Coturnix japonica: one gene and its partners. The main gene of each other region encodes a partner of the protein of the gene in region 2 in a complex. Links are inferred from orthologs where the notes say so. Each region holds a gene or a part of one and is shown on either strand. Other genes may lie near its edges. The genes, in order: BCL9, CTNNB1, FBXW11, CTNNA1, cadherin-1, NR5A2 and LEF1.

Evidence for each region.
Region 1: the proteins of CTNNB1 (region 2) and BCL9 are in contact, whole or in part, in a crystal structure (PDB 3SL9), measured with the Homo sapiens proteins. The link is inferred for Coturnix japonica from reciprocal best matches to the Homo sapiens genes CTNNB1 and BCL9. Residues at the interface, in NP_001091679.1 of Homo sapiens: Leu148, Arg151, Ala152, Glu155, Leu156, Leu159, Asp162, Asp164, Val166, Val167, Lys170, Ala171, Met174, Leu178; in NP_004317.2 of Homo sapiens: Asp349, Leu351, His358, Arg359, Ser362, Leu363, Thr365, Leu366, Ile369, Gln370, Met372, Leu373.
Region 3: the proteins of CTNNB1 (region 2) and FBXW11 are in contact, whole or in part, in a crystal structure (PDB 6WNX), measured with the Homo sapiens proteins. The link is inferred for Coturnix japonica from reciprocal best matches to the Homo sapiens genes CTNNB1 and FBXW11. Residues at the interface, in NP_001091679.1 of Homo sapiens: Leu31, Asp32, Ser33, Gly34, Ile35, His36, Ser37, Gly38, Ala39; in NP_036432.2 of Homo sapiens: Tyr244, Arg258, Ser282, Leu284, Ser298, Leu324, Lys338, Ala364, Ala365, Asn367, Gly381, Arg383, Arg404, Gly405, Ala407, Ser421, Leu445, Arg447, Tyr461, Arg494, Phe496.
Region 4: the proteins of CTNNB1 (region 2) and CTNNA1 are in contact, whole or in part, in a crystal structure (PDB 1DOW), measured with the Mus musculus proteins. The link is inferred for Coturnix japonica from reciprocal best matches to the Homo sapiens genes CTNNB1 and CTNNA1. Residues at the interface, in NP_001159374.1 of Mus musculus: His118, Thr120, Asn121, Val122, Gln123, Arg124, Leu125, Pro128, Ser129, Met131, Leu132, Lys133, Ala135, Val136, Asn138, Leu139, Ile140, Tyr142, Glu147, Leu148; in NP_033948.1 of Mus musculus: Ala58, Leu61, Ala62, Ser64, Val65, Gln67, Ala68, Thr69, Asn71, Phe72, Lys75, Gly76, Lys78, Ile79, Glu82, Met104, Ala108, Phe111, Pro115, Cys116, Arg121, Met124, Ala128, Leu131, Leu132, Val135, Leu138, Leu139, Ala142, Asp143.
Region 5: the proteins of CTNNB1 (region 2) and cadherin-1 are in contact, whole or in part, in a crystal structure (PDB 1I7W), measured with the Mus musculus proteins. The link is inferred for Coturnix japonica from reciprocal best matches to the Homo sapiens genes CTNNB1 and CDH1. Residues at the interface, in NP_001159374.1 of Mus musculus: Leu148, Ala149, Arg151, Ala152, Glu155, Leu156, Leu159, Asp162, Val167, Lys170, Ala171, Val173, Met174, Gln177, Leu178, Phe253, Ile256, Thr257, His260, Leu264, His265, Asn290, Lys292, Phe293, Ala295, Ile296, Asp299, Gln302, Ala305, Tyr306; in NP_033994.1 of Mus musculus: Asp788, Val789, Ala790, Pro791, Ile813, Asp814, Asn816, Leu817, Ala820, Asp821, Pro824, Ala826, Pro827, Pro828, Tyr829, Asp830, Ser831, Leu832, Leu833, Val834, Phe835, Asp836, Tyr837, Glu838, Gly839, Ser840, Gly841, Ser842, Glu843, Ala844.
Region 6: the proteins of CTNNB1 (region 2) and NR5A2 are in contact, whole or in part, in a crystal structure (PDB 3TX7), measured with the Homo sapiens proteins. The link is inferred for Coturnix japonica from reciprocal best matches to the Homo sapiens genes CTNNB1 and NR5A2. Residues at the interface, in NP_001091679.1 of Homo sapiens: Tyr306, Gly307, Asn308, Gln309, Lys312, Lys345, Val346, Val349, Gln379, Trp383, Arg386, Asn387, Asn415, Thr418, Cys419, Gln559, Glu562, Gly563; in NP_995582.1 of Homo sapiens: Ser300, Ile301, Pro302, Glu475, Gln476, Ala479, Leu482, Asp483, Tyr484, Met486, Cys487, Asn488, Tyr489, Pro490, Gln491, Gln492, Thr493, Leu501, Arg507.
Region 7: the proteins of CTNNB1 (region 2) and LEF1 are in contact, whole or in part, in a crystal structure (PDB 3OUX), measured with the Mus musculus proteins. The link is inferred for Coturnix japonica from reciprocal best matches to the Homo sapiens genes CTNNB1 and LEF1. Residues at the interface, in NP_001159374.1 of Mus musculus: Lys180, His219, Ser250, Phe253, Tyr254, Thr257, His260, Asn261, Leu264, Asn290, Lys292, Phe293, Ala295, Ile296, Asp299, Lys335, Trp338, Thr339, Val349, Gln375, Arg376, Gln379, Trp383, Arg386, Asn387, Ser389, Asp390, Thr393, Asp413, Ile414; in NP_034833.2 of Mus musculus: Gly11, Asp12, Pro13, Glu14, Leu15, Cys16, Ala17, Thr18, Asp19, Glu20, Met21, Ile22, Pro23, Phe24, Lys25, Asp26, Gln31, Lys32, Glu33, Lys34, Ile35, Phe36, Ala37, Ile39, Glu45, Asp47, Leu48, Asp50, Ile51, Lys52.

The regions. Positions count from the first base shown.
Region 1 is NC_029516.1:82,883,864-82,887,363, reverse strand, and holds part of BCL9 (B-cell CLL/lymphoma 9 protein), read right to left. Parts: intron 3,463-3,500; coding exon 3,273-3,462; intron 2,810-3,272; coding exon 2,710-2,809; intron 2,261-2,709; coding exon 31-2,260; intron 1-30. UniProt on the Homo sapiens protein: Involved in signal transduction through the Wnt pathway. Promotes beta-catenin's transcriptional activity.
Region 2 is NC_029517.1:39,927,525-39,929,675, reverse strand, and holds part of CTNNB1 (catenin beta-1), read right to left. Parts: intron 2,098-2,151; coding exon 1,978-2,097; intron 1,838-1,977; coding exon 1,687-1,837; intron 1,592-1,686; coding exon 1,470-1,591; intron 446-1,469; coding exon 385-445; intron 1-384. UniProt on the Homo sapiens protein: Key downstream component of the canonical Wnt signaling pathway.
Region 3 is NC_029528.1:13,899,016-13,902,515, forward strand, and holds part of FBXW11 (F-box/WD repeat-containing protein 11), read right to left. Parts: intron 3,100-3,500; coding exon 2,913-3,099; intron 2,393-2,912; coding exon 2,302-2,392; intron 1-2,301.
Region 4 is NC_029528.1:14,039,999-14,044,071, forward strand, and holds the start of CTNNA1 (catenin alpha-1), read left to right. Parts: upstream 1-1,273; 5' UTR 1,274-1,408; intron 1,409-2,553; exon of another isoform or gene 2,554-2,574; intron 2,575-4,073. UniProt on the Homo sapiens protein: Associates with the cytoplasmic domain of a variety of cadherins. The association of catenins to cadherins produces a complex which is linked to the actin filament network, and which seems to be of primary importance for cadherins cell-adhesion properties.
Region 5 is NC_029526.1:16,825,352-16,829,477, forward strand, and holds the start of cadherin-1, read left to right. Parts: upstream 1-1,326; 5' UTR 1,327-1,397; coding exon 1,398-1,466; intron 1,467-1,541; coding exon 1,542-1,656; intron 1,657-4,126.
Region 6 is NC_029523.1:1,487,323-1,490,822, forward strand, and holds part of NR5A2 (nuclear receptor subfamily 5 group A member 2), read right to left. Parts: intron 745-3,500; coding exon 497-744; 3' UTR 1-496. UniProt on the Homo sapiens protein: Orphan nuclear receptor that binds DNA as a monomer to the 5'-TCAAGGCCA-3' sequence and controls expression of target genes: regulates key biological processes, such as early embryonic development, cholesterol and bile acid synthesis pathways, as well as liver and pancreas morphogenesis.
Region 7 is NC_029519.1:33,527,571-33,531,595, reverse strand, and holds the start of LEF1 (lymphoid enhancer-binding factor 1), read right to left. Parts: upstream 2,801-4,025; 5' UTR 2,585-2,800; coding exon 2,375-2,584; intron 1,845-2,374; coding exon 1,781-1,844; intron 562-1,780; coding exon 428-561; intron 1-427. UniProt on the Homo sapiens protein: Transcription factor that binds DNA in a sequence-specific manner. Participates in the Wnt signaling pathway. Activates transcription of target genes in the presence of CTNNB1 and EP300.

The DNA of each region.
Region 1 (3,500 bases), on a different chromosome or scaffold from region 2:
CCAGGATGGACTGGAAAAGGCAGCACTCACCCGACTCCACGTTCCCCAGCATGGCCGGAGAAGACATGGTGAGAGACGCCTTGTGATTCGGGGGGATGCCAGGGCTCTGCAAAGGAGGCTTTGGAGACGAAGTCCATCCCGGTGAAGGTGCGGGGAGGGATGGTGACTTGAGGTGGACAGGAGAAGCAGCAGCAGACCCCAAGACCGGAGGGGACTTGATGGAAGCAGCAGCAGCTGCAGCAGTGGGACCTGCGAGCATTCCTGCCAGCTGGGAGGGAGTCTGAGGAGACTTGAGGTTCCCCGAGGGAGACCCCATCATGGGAGACTGGACCTGGCGCATGGTGGGAGACTTCAGAGGGTTGATTCCTGGAGAATGCACCTGACCGGCTGCAGAGATATCCAGGGGCTTGCGGCCCAGGCTGCGCTGCGCGGGGGGAGCAGTGTTGAGGCTATTAGGGTTACTGGTGGGATTGAGAGGTAGTGGCGGCATGTGGCTGAGCCGGTTGTTAGTCCTTTGGTCGGGCCCCATCTGTTCTCTGAGGTTTCGGAGACCAACTCCCGGGCCCTGAGACATGGGAAGGAAAGGCCTGGGACCCATGCCATACTCCTGTTGCGGGTGCTCCCCAAACGGCAGCGGCACCATCTTCTGCTGAGAGGAGAGCATCTCCGAGACACCCGGTCGCAGTTTCATCATCTCTTCCGGCCCGACTCCCGCCTCCCTCAACTTCTGAGGTACCAGGGGTGGGTTGGAGCCCATGCTGACATTCATACCCATGTCCCCCTTCATGCCACCAGGGCCCATCCCAAACTCCAGCTCCCTGCCAGAGCCCATTTGGGGGGGCATTCCTTTTGGGAACTCCCCCCTGGAGGGACTCATTGGCCCTTCCACAGGCATGCGAGGGAAGATGGGGTTATTCCCAGGCTCCATGTGTCTCTGGGAGGCGATCATTCTGTTGATCTCCATGCCAGGCCTGATGCCTTCCATGTTGAGGCCAGGAGGCAGGCCCATCTGCTTCTCAGCCAGCTGCTGCTGATAGATCTCTTCCGGCAGGCCCTGCGGGTTGGGGAACCGCTCCCCTCGGCCAGGGCCACTAAAGACACCTTGGCCGGGAGGGAAGTTTCGGCCATCTGGGATTTTTGGCACATCGTCTGGCCAATTGACTCCTGAAAGCCCCGGCCGAGAGGCAGGATTTGGGACATTGGGGCCCTCCATATCAGGGTTCATCATTCCTGCAAAACCAGGCAGGCGCATCTGACTCCCAGGCATGTTGGGATGAGGGGCCATGCCCCTGGGGGGCAAAGAGTGTGACATGTTCATGCCTTCAGGGAAGGGCTCTGGACCCCCAGGTCCCCAGCCTTCCCCAGGGGTCATCTGGTAGGGAGGAGGGGGGCCTCGGACAACCCCACGAGGCCCGTGCTGATGGACCATCATGTCCTGCAGGGAACACTGCTGCACAACAACCTGCTCTTGCTTTCTTCTCTTCTCCTCGTAGAACTCCTGCTGCAGCTTAAGCCAGGCCACCTGCTCAGGAGTCATGTGGTCCAGGTGGTCTGGACCTATAGGTCCCGACTGGGAGTTCATTGGTGGTGGCCCCATTTCATCTGGGGAAAAGGGCATGTCCCTGTGTCCTTGAGGGCCAAATGGAGCCCCTCCATCTGTCCGAGACCCTGACCCTTTGCCTAAACTTTGGGATTGAGCCATCATGGCCTGTATTGGCCCTTCAGGTTTCTTTTGGGGACCATCCATCACCCCAGAATTTGGAGGTGGCCCTCCACTTTGCCCTCCAGCAAACTCCTTCTCATCAGGGAAGAGCATGCGCTGTATGTCTCTCAGGGTCTGCAATGAGCGCTCTCGATGTTCCAGCTGCTCCTGCGACAGTCCATCTGGATTCTCACCCAAACTGGACGGGTCCCCACCAGACACCTGCTGGGGAGGACCTTTGGGGTCTGCAGCAGAGCTATTGCTACCTTGGGAAACAGGGCTAACTGCTCGATTATTGGGGGTTGAACTCTGCCCAAATCCTTCTGTCTGCAGCGGGGTCGAGTTGGCAGGGCTGCCCACAGACATCACTTTGCTTTCTACGCTGGGACTGTCCTGGTCTATGGGACACGGGGGACCGGTGGATTTGGATACTGGTGCTGACACAGGCGGAGTCGGCTGCATTTTGGCGTTCTGAGGAGGGTTCTGGTCCTGGGCAGCAGGGGGCTGTGGCTGCGGCAGGGGTTTGGGTTCAGTCCGAAGTGCATTGATCTGGGGGTTCTGAAAGAGAAAGCCACATGCCATCACTCTCTTCTTACAGCTGTGCCATGTAAGCAGAGGTGCCAATGTAATGTCCTAACCCCACCAACACACACTCTGCAAGGAAGGGTAGTCTCTTTGTAAACAACATTTACAGAGCAGCATCTTGGCCATAAATAACAAAGCAACAAAAAAACCCCACACACTTTTGCTCAAGCATCACAGCAGGTACCCCTTCCTTCTGCATTAGCTCTGCGTCATCAGTGGGTTGGAAATATACTACCCAAATATTGCAAGACACACTCTTCTTTGGATAATTCAAGACATTTATTTGCAGAAGGCTAGAACAACCACCATCTCTCTGTTTTCCATCCTAAGACTTATTTCAGAGCATAAACAATCACCCAACTCTCCGAATCACAAGCAAACTGAACATTCCCCTTCCCACCCACTTGCAGGCAGCTCCCTACCAAGGGTACAGTGTTTCGTTCCACCTTGCTGTTTGAGATGTTCTGGATATGAAAGGACACAATGGTTTCCACCTGTCCCTTCAGCACGGCTTCTGCAGCCCTGCAAAGACAGACAGACAAACGCACATATCCAGTTGAAGCTAAGAATCAGATTTTCCTAACCAGCATTCTTCACCTTTCAGCTGGCAGAAGGGTAAAAGACAACCACACATAATTGATAGCACATAGGCAGCAAAAAGAAAATACTTACATCTACGGACACAACAACACTTAAAGAGTCACGTCTTGGTTTAAGTCACCCCGGCTCACACTTGCTGTGTGGATTACAAACCAATATAATATTGGCATCTGCCAAAAATGCACCCCCATAGGAATATATCATCGCTTCTCAGAGAGCAAAAGGCCTCTTTCCCCATTCCAGCCCTTCCAGCACCACCAAAACACTCAGCATTGCCTTTTTGCTACAAAAACGTACTTGACCGAGAAAGGGCACCTGAAAGTTTCATGAAAAGGGAATAAAAATGTAAGCCCCTCTCCCTGAAGACATTCAAGCATCTACCTACTTGTTGGCCATCTCAGTAGAAAAAACGTAAACCACTTTGGATGGAGTCTTCTGCCCACTTGCTGGCTCCAGAGCAGCAGTCAGGCCATGGGAAGGTGTGGAAGACCTTGGGGCTGAAGCATTTGAAGGTGTCATGGAGTGCGGTGTGTGCTGAGAATCCTGGGACTTCACATGATCAGCAGAATTGCAGTCTGGAAGGAGGAAAGAGGAAGAGAGAAGAAATCACATC
Region 2 (2,151 bases):
TAGCAATAGACTTAAGTCTACTGGCACTTAAAGACTAATATATATACCATACCAACATTTGTTTTAAAGAAAAACTGCACTTCTGGAATTGTCAAGTCCATCTGTAAAGGATTTAAAAGATTTCTGGAAACAGCAGCTCAGTGGGAGATTCTCTTGCAAGACTCAGACAAGCGACACCAATTTTGCACATTCATATGGCTCCCATTTCAGTGCAGCCAGAGGTGTTGCAGAAACTGCTTATTTGAACTGGCAGTTCCCCATCTGCCTGTCAGTTTGCAATATCTTGCTGAGGAGTAATTTACTCTTCAGCCATTTGCAGTTCTCCTTTACAGTCAATGACTTGACTTATATTAAGCTTAGTCAAGGGGAATGGAACAGACATACCATCTGGGCGGTATCCAAGAGGTTCTCCCTGGGCACCAATGTCAAGTCCAAGATCCGCTGTCTAGATGTGCACAAAAAGATACAGAACAGTTTTCACATCAGGTCTTAGGGCCAACATTAATAATTGAATTTAAGAAATTCTAAAGCTTGCCATAAATCCTTTTTCTTTTTAACCAACTCTTCTGCACTGTATTTCAAAAAGATACACCATTTTTGCTATGTTTTCTCATGTTAACATGTTAGATGGATACAGACTTCAGGAAATCAGAGGTGAACACTGAAATACTACAAACCAAAGGCTACTACATATTATTAAGGTAAGACTGTTAAGTAAGTATATGGGGAAAGACAGATTTAGTGAAACATTCCCCAATGGCAGTTTTCAGTCTCAATTCACTGTGCTGGCCTTTAAGCATGAAAAAATTTCATGTAATAGCTTGCAAATACTTCCAAGTCTGAGAGCTCAATTCTCAATTAATGAGAACATAAAAGTGGCATACCCACACCAAGCTTCTTAGTCCTACAGAGTTTGCTAAATAAGAGTCCTTAGAGGAGTGTTATGGTTATGCTTGTATCCTATCATCAGTTCATCAGGTTTGGACAACCTGCAAGAACTGGTTGAAATTCCTAAAGATTACTGCTGAGCTGTCCTTTCAAATGAGAAGCAGCACAGAGACCTACAGAGTTCTTACACACAGAGCAAAATGAGACTTAAACTTTAGACTCTTTGTATCTGAAAAGAAAGCACTAAAGCAGCAGCTCTAAGGCTACTCGCTCATTATTCTACTTGAGCAAGTCTGTAGTTCTAGAGAGGTTTCTTGCCCTATGTAATGAATTCCCAAAACTGTCAGTTTCACCTGTTTAGATATAAACTTCTGCCCTAGGACAAGAGTATACATTTGAAGCTTGCACCATTTTCTACAAACCTACAAGCTGAACATGAACATGTAAAGAGTAAGGAAGCTACAGACATGTGTAAAACTGAATCCATATCACTGATGGCATCTACACTTCACTACTGGAAGGAAGAGGGACTTGAAAGTAAAGTCTCCCCAAGTTACCATTCACACAAGGACACAACTCACCTCGTTCCAAGCCATTGGCTCAGTCCGGAACAGAGAGCTTGTCAGTTCAACTGAAAGTCGCTTCTTGTAGTCTTGTGGTTTGTCCTCAGACATTCTGAACAGCACTGCAGCTGCATATGTTGCTATTAAAAAAGTAAAGTGAATTTAGTCAACATCAATTCTTTTGATGTTTGATACTTTTCCAGTAAGTATGAAACTTAATTTTAAGTTCACTTACCAACACCCTCATTCCTAGAATGGAGTAGTTCTGTTAAAGGGGCAGTTGCACCTTCAGCTTCAATTGCTTCAGCTGCTTCCTTGTCTTGAGCAAGTTCACAAAGTACACCCGCAGCTACTCTCTGGATATTCTCAATGGGGGAGTACAACAACTGCAATCATAACAAGGGTTTCTTTTAACTCTTCTGCTTGAAAAGAACTTTAGTACAATGCAAATTAACAGTTCTACCAACAAGGCATTGGGGAAGTTATACTAGTATGTACTACAGCATTTTCTTGAGCTCCAGCTTACCTGCACAAATAGTGGAATGGTATTTAGACCCCTGATAACAATTCGATTGTGAACATCACGTGCAAGAATATGCAGAGCTCCAGTGCAGCCCTCTACGATTTCCTCCATGCGCACACCCTCCTACAGTCAGGGAAAGAAAAGGCACTTCAGCTGAAATATTGAACATTATCTCCT
Region 3 (3,500 bases), on a different chromosome or scaffold from region 2:
CCCAGCTGAGGACCTGCCCTGTAGCATGGAGACCCAAAAGCAGTTTTCTGCCCTTCTCAGCTATGAGTCAAGGCCTGTGCCAGTTACAATCTGCCTGTTTGCAGGCCAGTTTCACATTAAGATGTGCCTTTCGAGTGGCTCAAGTCTGAAAATGCAGAGCAAAAATCACATTTTAATTCTCATCTGAATAAGGTTGACCTACGTTTCCACAGAACCAAGATGAGAACTTGTTCCCCTTAACTTCGAGAACATGACATTTCTGAAACAGTCTTCTCAACTCATCACATGGATACTTGTGCTAGAACTGCAGGGAAAACCAAATAGTTGGCCAGGCTTCACAAATAATATGGAAAAAATCCAGGGACTTGGGGTTCTGCAATCAGCAGTATTAAGCTTCCCATCTTGTCACGCTGCCCATTAACACAACCCACTCCAAACAGCTGACCTTCATGCAGTGCTTCAGGACTGCACCCAGTCACAGGACACCTTGCAGCAAAAAAAATTCTGTAAACAAGTCTCACAAAACCAAATTCCATTTGCTAAGATATGCCCACAAATGGGTTTTCCCCTAAATATATATATATCCTACAGGGGCTTGGCAATCCAACATAGAACTTGGAGACATTTAGCACTGCTGGACCACTTCTTGTGAAATGAAACCTTATTAAATATTTGGCTTCACGGTGGAGGGAGAGACCTCTTTCCAAGAATTTGGTTTCAGATCTCTAAATGTCCTCTTCTTTTCGAATCCGATGACTTCAGAAGTGACATTATGTTCCTAAAATGTGTTTGGCATGAAATAAACAGACACTGGCACTAATAAACCTTCAGAGAGGCAAGGGAGCCTCATCTGCTGAATCACAGCCTGTCCTACCTTGCAGTTAATGACACTTCATGGCTGCGTGGACTTTTGACCTAGAATGCAAATAGAGTCTGAAGAAAACAATTCACATTCGCTACATATCGTTCCTCAGATTCCCTTCCAATCATTAATTCAAGCCTTGGATTAGTTTTCAGTTCTCTCAGTCAACCAGAAGAATGGAGGACATTACTTGTAGAGCTCATCTCCACTCACAAAGCCAGTGCAGCATCAGCTTCTGTAAACTGGTACCTCCTCACATCAGTAACAGCATAGCAAAACACGTTCCATCTTTGCTCTCTACAGGTACAATACTGACTGATTAGATTTTCTGTCACATCAAATAGCTTTTACTGTATTAAAAATAAAGAAATTGGGCCCCTTGGATGCAAGATAATATAGATACTAAGTTGATCACACTGCAGTGCTAATACAGTAGCCTTGGTAGGAGGACAAATGGAGCGTCTGCATCACTGGCTCATCATGAGCTGCCTAAGCTCTGACAGAAAATGAAGATCTCATTAAAGGCCCAGACAAACATTTAAAGAAAAAACATCTTGATATTCAGAGATAGAAACCTCTTCAACTCTGCTAAAATGAAAGTCTTATTCCGCATATTGCTTTGAAAAGTGAAGAAACTGGAGAAGTATGAAAGTAAGGGCAAGTGTAACTTTAGGCTTAAAAGGCCCGAACAGATGCAAAATCAAAACCAAGCAGAAGAAAGTTAGGAAGCATTCCAAGCCTTACAGTTAGCTCTTGTTGCCACTGTTGCCCACCACCCACCTTTCTAAACAAAGTTAAAAGCTTCCTTTGACAGTTCTTTAGAGAAGCAATTTGGGAAAAAAAGTTTTAAAAGGGTGATTTATAAGAAAAATCTAATATACCCTTGGATTCAGATGAATTATAGGGGACCCTGGGCTATTAGCAAAAACACCAACCCCACTCCAGGTTGGAAACCTAAAAACAGCAGTGTTTCAAAAGCCTGAAGCACTGACATGGTACAACACCACCATCACTTACCATCACTATATTGTCACTGCCCTTCCTTACACATACAACTCCTTTCAAATACTAAGATGTGCATTGTTCAGGTAGCAAGCATCAAATTTGATCTCTCTTCACCTGTGTGACATTTAACCCTTAGTTCTGCACCTTTAGATGTTCATTAATTGTGTAACAGGGGCTAAAAATATTTAAAAATTGGATTATATTCTGCAGCAGTTACGTTTTACAGGTAGACTAAGAGCTCTGAATGATTTTACAGAGTGCCAAGCAACACAGACTCACATTTGCCATAGCGGAATGATTCTATTAGATCACATCTGCCTTAAACATCAGAACACATTTCCCCACTAATGAACTTCAGACCAAAACTTTATACCCATCACGTGGCTGAAATAAATATAAATTCTACTGCAGATATGACATGTCAGAAAACATACCTCTATGTCCTGTATTATCTTTGGGTATAAGGACCTGTAAAACGAATTTGGGGGGCCATCTGTTGGCCTGTTTTTAAACAGGTACTGATCCCTAGAAAGAACCAGAAACATATTTTTCAGTTTATCATGAAGAAACCAAACCGCAAAGGAATTCAAAATCTGCAAAGAACAAGAACTTACAATACATTCTTACAGAATACTTGTCATAATTTGTAGTATTGAAATTATAACCCTTGTGACTTTACAATTTGACAGCTATATTTGAAAAGAAACAGGTGTTTTCCTTATGGCTTTCTGATTGAGGGTCCTCTGCTTCACAAGGCTTTGACCAGCAGGGTGTCCTCCTCTTGCACAGCTCCTTACAGCATGCCTTGCATTTTCTTAGGCACACCACTAGAGAGCATAGACAAACACATTTCTAAAGCAGAACACCTGATACCTTCAATATCCTTGTGAAGGATGAAAAGCTTCTTTGCTGCTGCTGCCCCAGCAGTCCACAGGAGGGATAAGAGCTGCAGTGATACTATCAATTGCTCTTTGGTAATGCTCACAATTAGTTTCATTTATCAAGGGAAACACAGTAAGAGATGAATTATTGTCTGGGTACTTACCAACCCCTTCTTTCTGACAGTCCCTTCCACAGCGGATCTGTGCGTACCATTCTTTCAATCAATTTTTTCCATAGCATTCCCTCAGAGATGACTCTCTGCCACTCCTTGCATACCAGCTCTGCTGCACAGAGTGATCTGGCATCAAGATAGGAAAGGATGTTTTCTGCTATGTGATCTAAGCCTTGCTCTACAAAGAAATAAAGGCAATCAACACGTCAATCACTTCGCAGTAAACTACTAAACATGTTTTACAGTACAGAGAGAAAGCTAACACAGCTTTATATTTAAGGCACCAGAGCAAATGTGATTAATCATATCATACAGAGAAGTATCAGTCACAAATAAATCCCACCAGATACACCAAAATACCTCTCTCCTTAGTCCTTTCCTACTACTAGGCTGTTCCATTTTCACAGAAAGAATGAGAGCAAACTAAGCTTCACCGCTGTGCATCAGCAGCAGAAGCACCTTGCTGCCTCTCAGCACAGAATGTTGGATGTTTTAAGCACATAATCCATGGGGCTACACGGCCCAAGAAGCAGGTATTCCTCAAGATCTGTAATACAAGGTTGTAATATTGATTCCTGC
Region 4 (4,073 bases), on a different chromosome or scaffold from region 2:
TCAGTGTCGAGAGCCATGGTGTGAAGCACAGTGTGCTCTGCATGACATGGGCTGGGGGCTGGCACCCCAGGAATCTACATGGGCTGAATTGCCTTGCTCCAATGTATGCTCTGCTCCCTGAGGGCTGCCCAGCTCTGTGTTTTGATTGGTATCAAAGGACAGAGCAAATAGGTTCAGGTAACTCGGAAATGCTGGCAAATGAGTCATGAAATGTATTACAGTTATTCATTTGTTTTTACAATCCAGTACGAGCGTAAGTTCTGTAGAGATATTTGAATTAAAAGTCATGTCAAAACAAACTATGAAAAATACCAGTGATTTGATGCAGGGAAAACGTGGTCACTGGCTGTCTTCAAAGCCTCTGAAATACATTACTCCTTGGAGACATCTCTCCCCATCCACAAATCTACATTCATTGACTAACACTCAGCTCCTAAAAGCTCCCTAAGAGCAGGAGCTGCCACTGACCGCACCAAGCAGCACAAGGATGCTGCTTCAGACTTCTGTGTGTTGAGATGAGACACCAAAAGACCAACTAAACTCCGTAACGTCCCAGTCAGGAGCCACAGCACCAACATGGGACATGACAGCAGCTTCACACTGTGACTTTGGGGCCTGCAAGGCTCTTCTAACAGCACTTACAGACTGTCTGTCCAGCCTGGAGCACAGCAGGCTCTGGGGTGACCCTCTGGCTCTGTACAGCTGCCTGTAGGAGCACTCAGTGTTGTGGCAAGTGACAAAACGCAGGGTGAACGCAGCACATTGCACGAGGGGATGTTTAATTTGGGTATAATCACAGAATCACAGAATTGTAGGGGTTGGAATCTCTAGAGATCATCCAGTCCAACCCCCCTGCCAAAGCAGGCTCCCTACACCAATAATAATCATAATTTCTTCATACAAAGGATGGTAAAACACTGGAGCTGGCGATGAGGCCCCGTCCCACAGGCACTGAGAGTGTGGATGTGGCCCTTGGGGGCTGCAATAGTGCTGGTGGGGGGTGGGCTGGGGGGTCCCTAAAGTCTTTCCCAAGCGCAGACATGCTGTGATCTCACTCTGGCCGGTAACTGGACAATTTTTGCTTGTGACTGGAATTGTTGGTTCTGCCCCAAGCACGAGGTGTGTGGGGCGATGTGAGGGTGCTGCAGCCGGGCCTGAAGGGGTGCAGGGCCGAGTGGAGGCGGTGGGACCCCCATGTCGGGCTGACCCCCATGGCGGGCCCTCACCTGCCCGCGGGGCGGCGCGGCGGGCGGTGACGGGAACAGCGGCCGGGCGGGGCGGGAGCGGCGGCGGGAGGCGCCCGGAAGAGCCCATTTCCTGCTCGGGACGGAGCGGGTGCGGCCCAGACAAAGCGGCCGGGGGTCGGTGCGGGTCCGGCGGCGCAGCGCGGCTCCTCGTCCCTGCTCCGGTAACTATCGCACTAGCGCCGCTTTAACGGCGCCTTGGAAACTTTTGGCGGCGGGACGGGCCGGGCTCGGCTGCATTGGGCCCCGCGGGGCGGTCGGAGCTGAGGCCGCGGGCGGGGAGCGGGGCCTGTGGGGCTCCGAGTGGGGCGGGGGCAGCGCGGCCTGGGCCGGGTTCCGGGAGCGGGGCTCGGCCGTGGGGCTGTGGGGTCGTGGGGCTGTGGGGCCGCGCTGTGTGTGTCGGTGTGCCCCGTTTCGGGTGATCCCGGATCAGGGCGGGCGGGGCCCGGCAAAGTCCGGGCAAGTTTCGGTGGCGGCGCGGAGTTCGCTGAGACTTTTCCCCGAGGGCTCGGGCTGCCCGCATGGCTCCTCGGTTCGGCTCCTCGGTTCGGCTCCTCGGTTCTGCCCTGGGCTGTTCCGACGCTTCGGGAGCGGCCTGGCTCTAAGCGCGGTTCTCTCCGTCCGCCCCAGCTGGGAGCGGCGTTGGGCGCTGCCCCCGCTCGTCCTTGGCCGGCCACGACTTGTGTCCCATCGCTCCTATTTAAAGCGTGGGGTGAGAGTGTCAGACCCCAGCTGCTGGCTCACACCAGCCCTCCCGGGGTCACCAGGCGCTCTGCTTTCACACACTGAGCTCAGCATAACGCGTGTGAAGCATCCCGGTGTGGGCACAGCGAGGTGTGTGTGTCTCTTGCTGGGAGCTGGCTGCGGTCTGCCCCCATGTTACCCCCCCACACCCCGTAGAGCTTCCAGACCCCTCTCTTGTTCCCCCTTTATTCCCTGCTTCTGTCTGCCCGTCCTCACCCAGAGGGCGATGTCTGTGTCTGACTGAGCTGCCAGTCGATAACCCCCATGCCCTGCAATAACTCACACTCCCTGTTTGCATTAGGAGTGCCCGTGTCCTCGTTCCAGCACCCAACGTGACCACCCATGGCATGGCTGAGGTGACTGGATTCAATTGCTCTTTCCCCTCACCCCCCACTTCCTTTTCAATCTTCCCCCTCCCTCCCGTCCCCCCTTTTATTTTCCTGGGACAGGGGCTGAATAACCAGAGTTGTTCCTGATGCTGGAGTTGCTTCCTGTGTTATTCCTGCGTGGTGAGCAGGGAAGAGGAGGAGGTGGGGAGGCTCTGCTGGTTGCATGGATCCCAGTGCACATCCCCAGCCCGGCTCTGGTGAGGCTTCACACACTGCCCAGCTCAGTGGGGCCTGTCAGCCCTTGGGCTGGGCTGTGGGGTGGTCATTTTGTGTTTCAATGGTGTGAAAGCCAGTTTGCTTCACAGAACTCGTGGTCTTTGGGTACGGTTTGGACCATCTTTGGGTGCTGTGTGTTTGCTAACACTTGTTTTTCCTTCCTGTAGTGAAATATTTTCTTTGGAAAGGGCATCATTTCATGTTGAGTCATTAACTGATTTTTTTATTCAGAGAAACAGTTTTCAATGGAAATATCTTAGTTCCTCTTCTGAAAAGTCAATGATTTAGTTCTTGGTTGTTTTTTTTTTTGAAGGCTTTGCCCTAACCTTTTCCATAATAAACAACAAGCTTTCAGCCTTTAGCTTTTTCCAGCCAGCTCTAATAATAGAGCAGTGGAGATTAAAAGTTTACCCAGGGTGGCGGGGGGAAGCACAGCGGGTGGAGATTAGAAATCCCGCACCCAAAACGGTGACTTAAAATATTGTAGCGAGTATTTATGTCTCCATAAATTCTCCAGCTTCGTGTAACATCAGCATTTCCAGTGTCTGACATGTGTAATGGCAAATACCAATATACAGCTGCTTCACAGGGTGTCCGTGGGTCTGATAAAGTTAACTGAGAGATGTAATAGAAAAACAATTTGTGTGTTTTCAGCAGCATGAATATCTTCCTCCCGCAGCTGTGAGATGGAGAAACTGATCTTGCAAAAGAATCCACATAAGTAGAAGTGTTTATGAGCTGGAAATAGACTTCAGTAGAATGTCAGACCTTCATTGAAGTTGCATCTACTGTTAGTTCTTAATTTCTAAGGTTATTTTCTTATGAAGAGAGTTTGTTAAGTTCATGGAAGTATTTAATGGCATGGCCAGTCGACTCATCATGGATGCTTAGTAAGGTTGGTATTGAGTGAGGAAGTACAAGGCCATGGTCCTCCCTGAAAGGACTCGGTGTATTGCATCTGGGTTGGTTTTACTGGCACCTCTTGGCTTTGGACATCAGAGGAAACGTGGTGAATAAAAGAGGACTGAATATTATGTTAGCACAATACCATATTGAGATGAGGTCATGTAACACAAAGCTGAATGCCCGTTGTTGTTCCCTGCTGAAGTGCCTTAACTGGAAATCACTCGAAGTCTTACATTGTAGAACATCGGTGTGTATAACCTTGAGGATTTGGGTTCTTTATTACTTCTGGGAATCCACCCTACCTTGGCTTTATAGCTAATCAGGAGTAGCACTGTATGTAGCTCATGCATTGGTCAAACTGAGTTACAGCTTTCCAGGAAGTGCAGATGTTTGACAGTTACTACTTGTATTTTCATATGGCTTTAATCCAACGTGTGAGGCTGGAAAGAAAAACTGCAGCAGCACCTTTGTTGGAGGAACCCAACTGGCAGCGACCTGTGGGGCCATAAGGCAGCAGTGGCTGGCAGAGCGCGATGCAGTGATGTGCCTCATTGAGTTACAGGAGGAATGCAGT
Region 5 (4,126 bases), on a different chromosome or scaffold from region 2:
GCAGGACTCACGAACCTGATGCCAGCTGCACCGCGGCCTGGACGCCCGCCCTGAGGTGATCCGCAATGACGTGGCCCCCACCGCTGATGGCCGCCCCCCAGTACCGCCCCGGCCGGCCAACCCCGATGAGATCGGAAACTTCATCGATGAGGTGAGCCCGACCGTTCTGCCGCCGCACTGCTGGGCTGCCCACAGCGTCCCCATCCCATAGGGCTGAGCGCGGGGGGAGCAGCGGGTGAGCCCTTCCTCTGCCCTCCTACAGAACCTGAAGGCGGCTGACACGGACCCACGGCCCCCCCCTACGACTCCGCTGCTGGTGTTCGACTACGAGGCGGAGGTCGGAGCCACCTCGCTAGCTCCCTCAATCTCCTCCGCCTCCGACCAGGACCAGGACTACGACTACCTCAACGAGTGGGGCAACCGCTTCAAGAAGCTGGCGGAGCTCCTATGGCGGTGGGGAGACGATGACTAGCCCCCAACCAGCGCTGCTGCTGCCCAAAGCCTTACCCTGCCCGTGCCTTGGGGCCGCGCTGCCCTCTCCTGCACTCCCTGTGCTGTTTGAAGCAGCCTTGGCTTCCTCCTGTGTGTTTCAACTTTTTTTTTTTAAGCAACTATGAATTTGATGTAGTGGGGTGGTATCAGGGTGGTACCGTTGTGGTACCGGGGTGGTATCAGGGTGGTACTGTTGTGGTACCAGGATGGTACCAGCGGGCTGAGCTGGGGCTGTAGAAGTTTTAGGGAAGTTTTAATAAAGGATGTGGTTTTCCTTTTTCCTTTTTTAAGACCCTTCTCTGTCTCGCTGTGATTCTGTGCACCCCAAGGGCTCAGAGCAGACCCCCCTCACCCGGGGCTGGCTCAGCCCCATCCCCTGTGTGCAGCGATGGGGAGTGCAGGGAGCAGCGCTGCCCATCCCCAGGGCTCTGCCCGCTTGGCGCTCAGCAATAAGTGCATTAAACAACTTAACTGCGTTAACCACGCCGGCTGAGCACGGCGCCTAAGGGGGAAATGGAGCGCTGCTGCTGCCGTGCCACGGCCAGGGCTCGGCTTCTGTCCCAGCTCGGTACGAGCAGCCCCAGTGTCTGTGTGCAGACTCTGCCCCGCTGCAGCCGCGGGGGCGGCGGTAGCACTGAGTGTCGCTGCTCACCCCGGCCCCAGCGCAGCGCCGCAGTTCGCAGAAGGGACCGACCCCGCCGCCCCCTCGTCCCCCCGTGGGCCTCGCGCCCGTGGACGGCGCCGTGGGACGGGGCGGGCGGGACGGGGCGGCCCCGGTGAGGCGGAGCGGGGCGGGGAGGGGCCCGGCGGGGCCAACACCTGCGGGCGGGGCGCTCCCACCTGCGCTTGGCGGAGGCAGCGCTCGGCAGCTCCGTCCGCGGCGGTACCGGCCCGGTCCCTGAGCCATGGGCCGGCGGTGGGGTTCCCCCGGCCCGCAGCGCTTCCCCGTGTTGGTGCTGCTGCTGCTGCTCCAGGTGCGGGGCTGCCGGGCGGGACGGAGGGGACGGAACGGGACGGAAGGGGTCGGGGCTGACACCTCTCTCGGGCAGGTGTGCGGCCGGCGGTGCGACGAGGCAGCCCCCTGCCAGCCCGGCTTTGCTGCAGACACCTTCACCTTCAGCGTGCCCCGGGACAGCGTGGCGGCGGGCAGGGAGCTGGGACGAGGTAGGAGCACGGGGGTGGCTGGGGGGACAGAGCTGTGGTCGTGGGGGTGGGTTGGGTGTGCGCCACCAGAGGTGATGAGAGACACGGGAACAGGCTCAGCGTGGTACCGAAGGTGGCTGGTACCAAGGACGAAGGTGTTCCTGTTGGGACGGGTTCAGTGCGTGGCAAAGTGGCATAGAAATATGGTTGGATGGGGGGCTGGGTGCGTGGCACCGAGGGTGGCCATGGGGAACAAAGCCATGGCTAAGTGCCCGTGTGCCCTGCGTGCTGTCAGGGCCGGCTGCACTATGTCCAGTTCAGTGCTGGTGGCCATGGGCACACGGAGCCGTGCCTACGTGTCCCAGCTCCACGAGCAGCCCGGTGGTGCAGGTGCCGGGGCAAACAGGGGCAGTGGGCGCCTCTCCCAGCAGCACCGAGGCGGGCGGCGCTGACTCAGGCAGAGCTTGTTGGGGCCGGCAGGCTGGGTGTGGGGCATGGAGCCCGGCCCTGAGCCTGTGCTGAGCCCACATCCCAGCACCCAGCACACATCAGCACCCAGCTCACAACAGCACCAAGCCCACATCCAAGTGCCGAGCGCCCGTCCTGGTGCAGAGCCGTGCGTGGGTGCGGGTGGTGGTTCTTAGGAAGGGTGGCTCAGGAGTTCCAGTCTGAGTTTCGCCCACGCTGGGGAGTATCGGGGCTGGGAGCTGAACCCTGCACTGTACCAACGCATTCCATGTTTGTGAACTTTCTGTTAATCATTTACCCGGGCTGTGCAGCGCCAGCAGGCTGTGCCCATTGGGGCAGTGACTGACATCAGGGTGACGGGCAGCTGTGTGCCAGGCAGCACTAACCCAGCACACAGCGATGGCTCCCAGCTGGAAATCCCCGCTGCCGAGCACCAGCACTTCCCGTCTGGGGCTGGGGACAGGGGGGGTGTGTGGGAGTTGGGCGTCCTGTCTGGGTCTGCCCGCGCGTGCCAGCGCTGCTGCCACAAAGCCTGACCACAGAGCATCCTGCCGTGCCCTCCGTGCCGTGCAGCCTTTCAAAAGCCCCATCTGTGGCTCAGCACGAGCAGCGTGATGAGCTTCCCTGTAATTACCCGATGAGCCGAGCGCTGTGTTTGCAGTCAGACAGGTCTGGATTGGCCCCGCACAGCGCTCGGGTGGTGAACATCAGTGGGAGCTCCAGGGGCTGGTGGGTGCAGCTCTGGGCTCCCCAACGGCGCTGCAGCTGCCTGCCTGATGAAAGGGCTTGGTGGAGGAAGGAGCAATTTCCTCCATGTTAATGCGGGCTGTAAAAGCTGCACGGCACGATGCTTTCTGCTGGGTGCTGGGGCTGCTGCTGCCCCACACCCCAAGGGAAGGACAGACAGCACCTGCCCCGCATCCCTGGGGCTCAGCTCAGCCTCACTTACTGAGCAAAGGGTCCTAAGGGAGGGGATGGGATGGTGGATCCCAGGCAGGAGCTCTGAGGGAGCCCTCGGCTGTGTGGGTATGGCACCTTATGGGAGGAACACGGGTGTGCAGCCAGGTGTGACGCTTCCCAGTTGCGTAGGTCCCGGATCAGCCCCAAATGGGAGAAAACCGAGAGTCTGAAGTCACGGTGAAACTCGGTGATGTCAGGCCCTGGCAGGACGTGTGGCTCACTGCGCTCTTGCAGCACTTTCACCCTGGCTGCTCATGGCTGACGTGTGCCTCTCCCCGCCACCAGCTTCCGCCCCGGCACAGCCGCACTTGCACAACCTGCGTGGGGATGGGGAAGAACATTGGGATGGTGGCACTTGGCTGCGCCTGTGACTCACCCTGTGCCCAGCCCCAGTGAGACACTTTCCTGTGTCGCAGCAGAATGGGGGTAGCTTGGTGTCCCCAGGTCCCAGCCCAGTGTGGAGGGCTCACCTCCCCACCCCAGCTTTGAGCCGGTAATTCGCTGGTTTGGGCCCCACGGCCAAACGCATTTGAAGGTCCAGGAAATCAGTGGCACTCAGTTGCCTCCCGCAGTGCAGGAGCCCCTGAGCTCGACCCCTGCCCCACGCCTTGCCGAGGCCCCATTGGCTCAGTGCCCCGGGGAGAATGGAGCTGGGAGGGGCTGGCTTTCAAGTGTGGAGCTGGAAAAACAGGTTGTGCACGGCCGGGCGCAGAGGGGGAGATGGGGAGAGGGGGAGAGGGGGAGCTTAGCAGCGGTGCGGGGCCGGGTGCTGTGCACGGTGCGCTCCGCCGGCCAAGTGCCAGGAGCCGGGTACCCGCAGGGATGGGGCACCTCCCCACTGCGAGCACACGGTGCGGGAGCGCCCGGCGTGCCCCAGCACAGCCCTGCACAGCCGGTATCACCGGCTGGCCCGCCTGGGTTGGCATCGCCCCGCAGGGAGCGCGGCACGGCGGTGGGCGAGCAGCCCCCGGCCCAGCTCTGCCATTACCTCCCCCTCGATGTTGTCTCTGAATTCCTGGGCTGCCTGCAGGCTGATGTAACACGGGACGCTGGGACAGGTCCC
Region 6 (3,500 bases), on a different chromosome or scaffold from region 2:
TGGATGCCACGTTGTTTATCACAGAAGTGTTGGGTCCTTGGAAGAATGATAGAAGATGGTGTAGATGCAGCTTTGCATCTATTATAACTGCTCTAGAAGTCCTGCTGTACAATGAAGGAATTTAGTGCGCTCAATTTCTCCACTCTCTTAGCTCAATAATACAGATCAGTTTTCCCCTAAATTTCTTCGTATTGGCAATCAGAAGTTAAATATACAAGAATCATTCTGTCCTTATTCATGTTGGCATTGGTGATAGTATCCACGTTTTATGTTTACTTCTCTCCAGTTTATAAAGTCCTATAGAGATTCCTTTGGGGATGTGTAGCATATGATTCACAGTTTGCAATACAAATACCCTGATACATCACTTATTTACTATTAGTATTTGATTATTATACCATTTTGCAAAGTCTTAAAACCACATTTTAATTAGTGTTGCTTGGAGCAGTTCAGAGTATATTTTTTCGTTGAAAGCAGAAGCTCTAATGGATATAATTTATGCTCTCTTTGCATGCAGCATCTCAATGAGAAGGTTATTACATGGGACATCTCCGTTCAGGTGTTTGTAGTAGAGGTATTCTTCTGCCTGCATACTGATGGCCCGGATTTCTGGTAGTCGCAGGAGAAGCTGCCCGAATTTGTCTGTTTGCTGTGGGTAATTACACATTGTGTAGTCCAGCAGAGCAGCATTCACTTGTTCCTGAACACCCTCCACAAGCTGGAAGTTCTCTAGGTTTTTGACATCTGAATGGTAATTAAAACAACAACAAAAACAGTAAGAACAATTGAGTTGCATTTTAATTACGGCTTACTAAGGCAACATTTTGCTAAATATTGTGGGTTTTTTGTATTATTATTTTTTTCCTCCTGACAAAAGCATACTCTACAAGCTGCTGAATATTCAGCAAACCCTTTTGCTCTCTTTCCTGGGAAAATGATCACAAAGAGCTTTAGCGGAGTGTCTTGTTGAAATTCTGCATATACCTCAAATCAATTAGACACCAATGGAGTCTGAGCAAGGTCAGCTCTTTTCATATCTTACAAAAAGAAAGGTTGAGGATTCCTAAAGTAGAAGACCGTGATATATTGCTAGCAAATGAGTCCCAAGAGGAAGCCCTATCTTTAACCTAGTATGTTACACAATTCATATAATTCTGTATTAATTTTTCTGACCCAAGGTGAAATCTGTGTCCAGGGTATGATGTAGTTAATTCTAATAAAAAGTGACAGGGTTCTTGTTTCTGTTTGACATTTTCTAAACGATTCTGAAAGCCTTTGACTTGTCTAGTCTATGTTAATGAACCATCTGGTACACTCCAGTGACTGCCAAAATAATCTTCCCTACTAGAAACTCTCTAAAATATATATTTCATTGACTAATGATCTTTATAAATTGAAATCATTGTCCTTTGGGGGGAATACCAGATAAAAATGGTGCCCTTTAGCCTGACTATGCTTTCTGAAATCCAACGTGCTAATTTTATTTGGTATTGGATAACATGGGTGCTTACATCAGTTAGCAGGCAAGATTTGTTCACTCTTCCTCTCTTTGATTATCTTCTTTCTGTTTCTACACAGGAAGTTTCAGCTATGAAAATGGCAGTCAGGGATAAATCACAGAATCATAGTCACAGAATTGTAGGGACTGGAAGGGACCTGTAGATATCATCAAGTCCAACCCCCCTGCCAAAGCAGTCTCCTAAGACCTGGTCGCACAGGTAGGCATCCAGGCAGGTCTTGAATATCTCCAGTGAAGGAGACTCCACAACCTCCCTGGGCAGCCTGTTCCAGTGCTCCATCACCCTTATCACAAAGATGTTCTTACACACATTTGAGCAGAACTTCCTATGCTCCAGTTTGTGGCTGTTTCCCCTTGTCCTATCGCTGTGCACCACTGGAAAGAGTCTGCCAATATACTGACTCCGTACTGTTTGAGTCCCTTTGTTAAATGTGTTTTGATGCTGTCTTTTGACATGTCTGAAGATTGCAGAAATTATTCCCACATTTGCAAATCAGACTTCTGATATAATGCAGAAAGTGGGAAGCAATCAAACTACTCTTGCTGGGAGAACTTACTTTGGTTGATGTTCAGTCATCTGTACCATAGTAGAGTACTGTAATACAGTTTCTTGTAATGCTAGAGCACAGCAGTAGAAGCATATGTACTCGGCTAACTCACTTCGAATTAAGACAAATGTGTCCCTATATGGATATTCTTTGAGCAAGGGAGAGGGGGAATTTGGCAGAATTTGGTTCATTGTAAATCCCAGCTTTGAATGGAGGGGAAATGAGTGTTTTCCTTTGTAAAATAGGAACACACTTTGGTTTCCCAATGCATTACACTGGAAAGCTGTGTAAGTTGGATCTAACTGCACCTTTTCCTAGAAGAGCTTTAAATAGAACTTATGGTTCCTGCTCATAACTGTGCTAGATTAAGAGGAAAATGGTTGAAGGAGGCAAACATTTTTCCTCAGGATCAGAGAACAGGAGGGAAGTCATGGTTCCCAATGGCAGAGCTGGGTAGCATGTACAGACTTGGAGCAGGAGGCTCTCTGCAGCATACTGTACTTGCTGCCGGCTACCCCTTTGCTTCACTCTTTCATGGGCTTTCTGCAGGGTGGATGGTTCCTTTCATCATTACTGTCTGCCTCTTTCCTGTCCCAGTTTTGTTCTGGAAATGACACAAGTGGCTCCCTGAATCAGATGCTGCTCACTTGGGAGCCAGGACATGACCTCTGCTTGAATTTTGCTATCTGGCGTTAAAGAATTCCCGAGCAGTACCAAGGTGATGATGACTGTCCGAGTGGAATCATCTGAAATTTCAGTATCCAGAGTGAGGGGAACTGGAAATTTCAGAGCTGCTGTGCATGGCTCCTGAGCTATTCACACTTATTTATCTGAAGTCTTTTTGCCAGTGTCTCTGGTAAATCGTGTTTTCATATATTACTCTGGATGTTTTCTAAGAACTGTTTATGTTTTCACGTAGGTACTTAAAACTCCTAAGGTATTTTGCAGGGAGTGTGAGTTGATTTAAAAGTTGAGTGTTGTAATTATGATTAGTAGATTACTTTCAGAGGCAAATTGCAATCATGAATGAATTGGCAGAACATAAGTTCCCCCAGAAAATATGGCCTATGTTGGGAGTTAAACTGCATTAAACAGGAAGATAAATTGTATAATGATTTCAGAATTAGCATGTCAAACCTTTTCCTTGCTAAAAATAACTTCAAAATAACTTTAAGCACTTTGGTATGGCAATAAAAGCATTAGTCAGATTTAAAGATAAGTACAGTTAATATGAACATTAAACAAAAAGTAGTTTTGGGGCTTGTATGCCACATCCAGCCTGAGGAAATGCTTTTAATGTATTCCTGGCATTTGTGATGAGAATCGGATGTTTGTAAACAAGGTTGTTTTAGTTCATCAGTCTGAATGCAAGGAATTTTCCTTACTCTTTCTATACTGAATCGGAGTATTCATGGTCTAAGTGACTACAGTGT
Region 7 (4,025 bases), on a different chromosome or scaffold from region 2:
GAGCATTTCTCTTCGATGCACAAAGCCTTTTTGCATGGAGCAACCAATGGTGGGAATCAATGTCAATCAGCAGCCGGCGATACCGTATCTGGTGGCAAAAAGCGGAGCGAGCCTTTTCATCTCGCTGACAGGCAGCTCGAGCAGCCCCGCTGCAGCCCTCGAGACTCCTCAACAAACAAAGAGTTAACGCCAGAAAATTCACATCTGTCCTCACGACTACAAAGACAGCATTTACATCGCCCCACCGCACATTATCCCGCAGTGTAAAGCAGGGCTCTCCCCAGCCCCGCTCCGAGCGCACTGCGGTTCGTCACGGGGTTCAGCACGGGGACCGCAACCAACACTGTCAGAGCCCAAATGCACAGAGCAGCCACACGCTGCGGGACTCACAGAGGAACCCCAAAAAGTCTTCAGGGAAAGAACTCACTGTTCTGGGGATGGGTGGCGACAGAGATCCGTTAGGCATGTACGGGTCGTTGTTCATATTTGGCATCATGATATACCCCGAGTAACCAGAGTACGATGGTCCCTTGCTGTACAAGCCACCGTCAGGATGCTTTCCTAGGGAAGAGGAGACAATGACGGTGTTATTCCCCATGCATGCACCTCACTTAAACAGGTACTGTATGATCACGGAAACATTCAGCCTGAGAACATTCCCTTGCTTATGGCAATTATTTCTGGCAGAAAACAGTCCCAGCAATTTGTAACCACATTTTTTTTTAAGAAGAAGAGTTAATTCTTAAAGAAGTCGGTGCACTTTGCGAGGGGCCAACGTGACACACCCTCAAAGCAACTCATTTATTTGGCCAGTCCCTGCCAGAGTAGGCAGAAACACCAGCATTGACATCGTGTAGCTCAAGCAGCGGTTTTCCCCCACGTCGCACGTCCCTCCAGGATGCTGGACTGGGAAGCACTGCCAGCATGGCTTCCCCACATCACTGCTAGGAGGGGAGGGAGAAGACAGCAAGAACAAGGGGCAATCACTCTCTCCTCTCCTAACTGGGAGCAGAGGGCAGGGCTGGCACGGGGCAGACCCACGGCCTTGGGGAGGGGGAGCCCATGTGGGGAGGTGATATTGTAAGGAAACAGCTTGGCTCTGGGTCCTGCAAAGGGACGGGTTTGGGCAGCGAGACTGCCTGCAGGTGAGCTTTTCAGAGGGTGCAAGGGGAAAAAGAGCTGCACAGAGCTGATCTTCCCTCACGGCCACAAGCACAGACACTGCAGCTGTTAGGGTGTGCAGAGCCCAGTTCTGTGAGGAACCAGAGGGTCCCGGCAGGCGCTGGGGCTGAGCTGCGTCCCACTCCTGTGGAGGTGATGACCTGCTTCAGCCTGTGATCACAACCACTGCACGTTAAGCACAGCCTTTGTCCTTCACAGCACTCATTCTTTGTACACGTGCCTGACCCCCTAAGCAATATTCCACAAACTTTGTTATTTCCTTGGCCAGAACAAACCGCCGGTGCATTACAGAGGGCAGGAAGGCTGCTCAGATGGAGGCTTAGGGGCTGCCATGTGCTTGGGGGAAATCACACTGCTCCCCAACACAGCCGGCAGTGCTGCGTTAAATCAACATCCTAAAAACAGTGATTTCTTCAGCGAGGATCCATGTGGCCTCCTTATCAGTCTTACTTTCGACAACCATTTGGTCACCAGAGATAAACACGCGGTGCATCCACCTCCACCCCCAACGCTTTCCCGTCCCCAGCAGACACTGTATTATTGAGACACGAACTGCAGCCCGAAGGTGGGAGCAGCAAGCGGGACACGCGGTTCTCACCTTCCTCCGGGTGCTCCCTGCCCTTGTCATGGTAGGAATCCTGCGCTGGAGTCTGCCGGGAAACCTGGACCGCGGGGAATCCGGCACCGGAGAGGAGGAAGGAAAAGAGGAGAAGTCACTGTGCGGTGGTTCGCTGTGCCCGTCCGCCTCAAAAGACGGGACAGTGACGGCGCGGGGCAGCACAGCTGGTTCCTCCGGGCACAGCGCAGCCCGAGGGGCAGCGTGCGGGAACGCGCCGAGCTCCGGCGGCCGAAACGCCCAATGGGTACCAAAATGCGAAAGGCAAATCAGGTTGCCCTCGTTACTGCATTTCTTGGGGAGGGGGAAGAAAAAAATTAAAAATAAAAAAACAAAAAACAGAAAAAAGGCAGGAACACCGACAAGCGGCTCGGCCCAAAGTTGTTTTAGCGTCGGGAATTTCTTCCCGACAGTTCAGTGCGAACCCCTCCGAGAGCCCACGGCCCGTGGGGGTGCGGGGCAGCGCTGGGACCGCCGGCCGCCCCGCGGGACCCGCGCCGAGCCCTGCCGGGCCGAGGGGGCCTTCGCCAGGGCTCGGCCGCCCTTCCCCTCTCTCCGCTGCCCCCGGCCCCTCACCTCGTGCCCGCCGGCGCCGGGCGCGATCTCGGACTCGTTGACCAGAGAAGACTTGATGTCGGCCAGGTCTCCCTCCTCCTCGGGGTGGCTGATCTCGGCGAAGATCTTCTCTTTCTGGGGGTCCCCTTCGTCCTTGAAGGGGATCATCTCGTCGGTGGCGCAGAGCTCCGGGTCCCCCCCGCCGCCCCCGGCCCCCGGCAGCTGCGGCATCCTCGCGGCAGCGCGGCGTCTGCTGCGGCCGCCGGCCCGCCGCGGGAAGGGAGCGGGAGGAGCGGCGGGGGAGGAGGCGAGGGAGGAGGCGAGAGAGGAGGAGGAGGAGAGAAGAAGGGGGAAAAAAAAAAAGAAAAGAAATGAATTAAAAAACCCCACCAAGTCCTCGCCAAGTTGCTGCCTCCGCGCTCGGCGCCCGCCGCGGGGGGAACGGCGTAGGGAGGCCGCGGGGCTGCGCGGGGCGAACCGAACCCCGCCCGCCCCAGCCGTCGGGGCGGGGCGGGGGCGGTGGAGATGAAAGGAGCCGCCGCCGTGAGTGACACCGGGGGGGGGGGACGGCAAAGGGGCAGGGGGGGGTGGCGGGGAAGGGCCCGGCTCCGGGAAAGTTTGCAGAGGCGGCCGCCGTGTGGGTACGTTTGTGCGGGGCCGGGAACGCTGCGGGGCTGGGAGCGCTACAGGAGCGGTGCCCCTCTCCGCCCCGTTGGGAGCGAACACGCGTTCGAAAGATTTTGTCGATAACCAAAAAATTAAAGGAAAAAAAAAATATCTAAACAAAAGCATCCGACGCGCTCACTCGGGAAACATCGGAGCGATGCGGCTCGTTGCGTTCGGTGCGGGGCATCCTGCGGACCACCGCTCCCCACCATCCCGGCCCCGTGGCCGGGGCGCCCCGTGCCCTGCCCGTGCCTTGTCCGTGCCCTGCCCGACCCAGCGCGGCGTGGGGCCGAGCGCTCCGTTGGCCGCGGGGCCTCCGCACCGCTTCCCCCCGACGGCTCCGTAAGGAATGAGACCGAGGACGGGAGCAGGTAGTGGGGCACGGCGAGAGGGATTCGGACGAGGAGAGGGGAAAGTAGGAACAGAAAGACGGAGACGGGGACGGAGGGGCACCGCACGGCGCTCCGCGGGCGCTGCGTTGGGTCAGCACTGCGAGACCTCCCCGGTCCTTATACACATCTGCGGGCTTTGGGCATCCTGTTTTTTATACACACAGAATTGCTTTACAGCAGAACGTCGTGGGGTTTTCGTTGTTTTGGGTTTTGTTGTTTTTTTTTTTTTCCCTTTTCCCTTTTTTCACGCCTTTTTAGCTTGGTTTGGCAGTTTCGGCAATTGGGATGTTTTATTATTATGGTTTTTTTTAATCATTATTTTACGATCATTTAATTTTTCAGCCCCGACGGCCGGCCCCGCTCTACCCCAGCCCCGTCGCCGAGAAAGGAACGGAGGCAACAGAACACAACCCCCCATCCCCACTCACAGCCCCCCCGGTTGCGTGCGGAGCGGCGCCCCCTATATAGGGGAGGGCGGGAGCGGGGCGGGGCGGCGGCTCTTTGATGTCCCGCCGGCGGCCCCTTTCATCCCCCCCCCGCCAGCCCCCCCGGGCCCTTTGTGAGCCTAAATTTGGCAGGAGCATGGAGGCGCGCCAGGGCGCCCACGTGTGCGC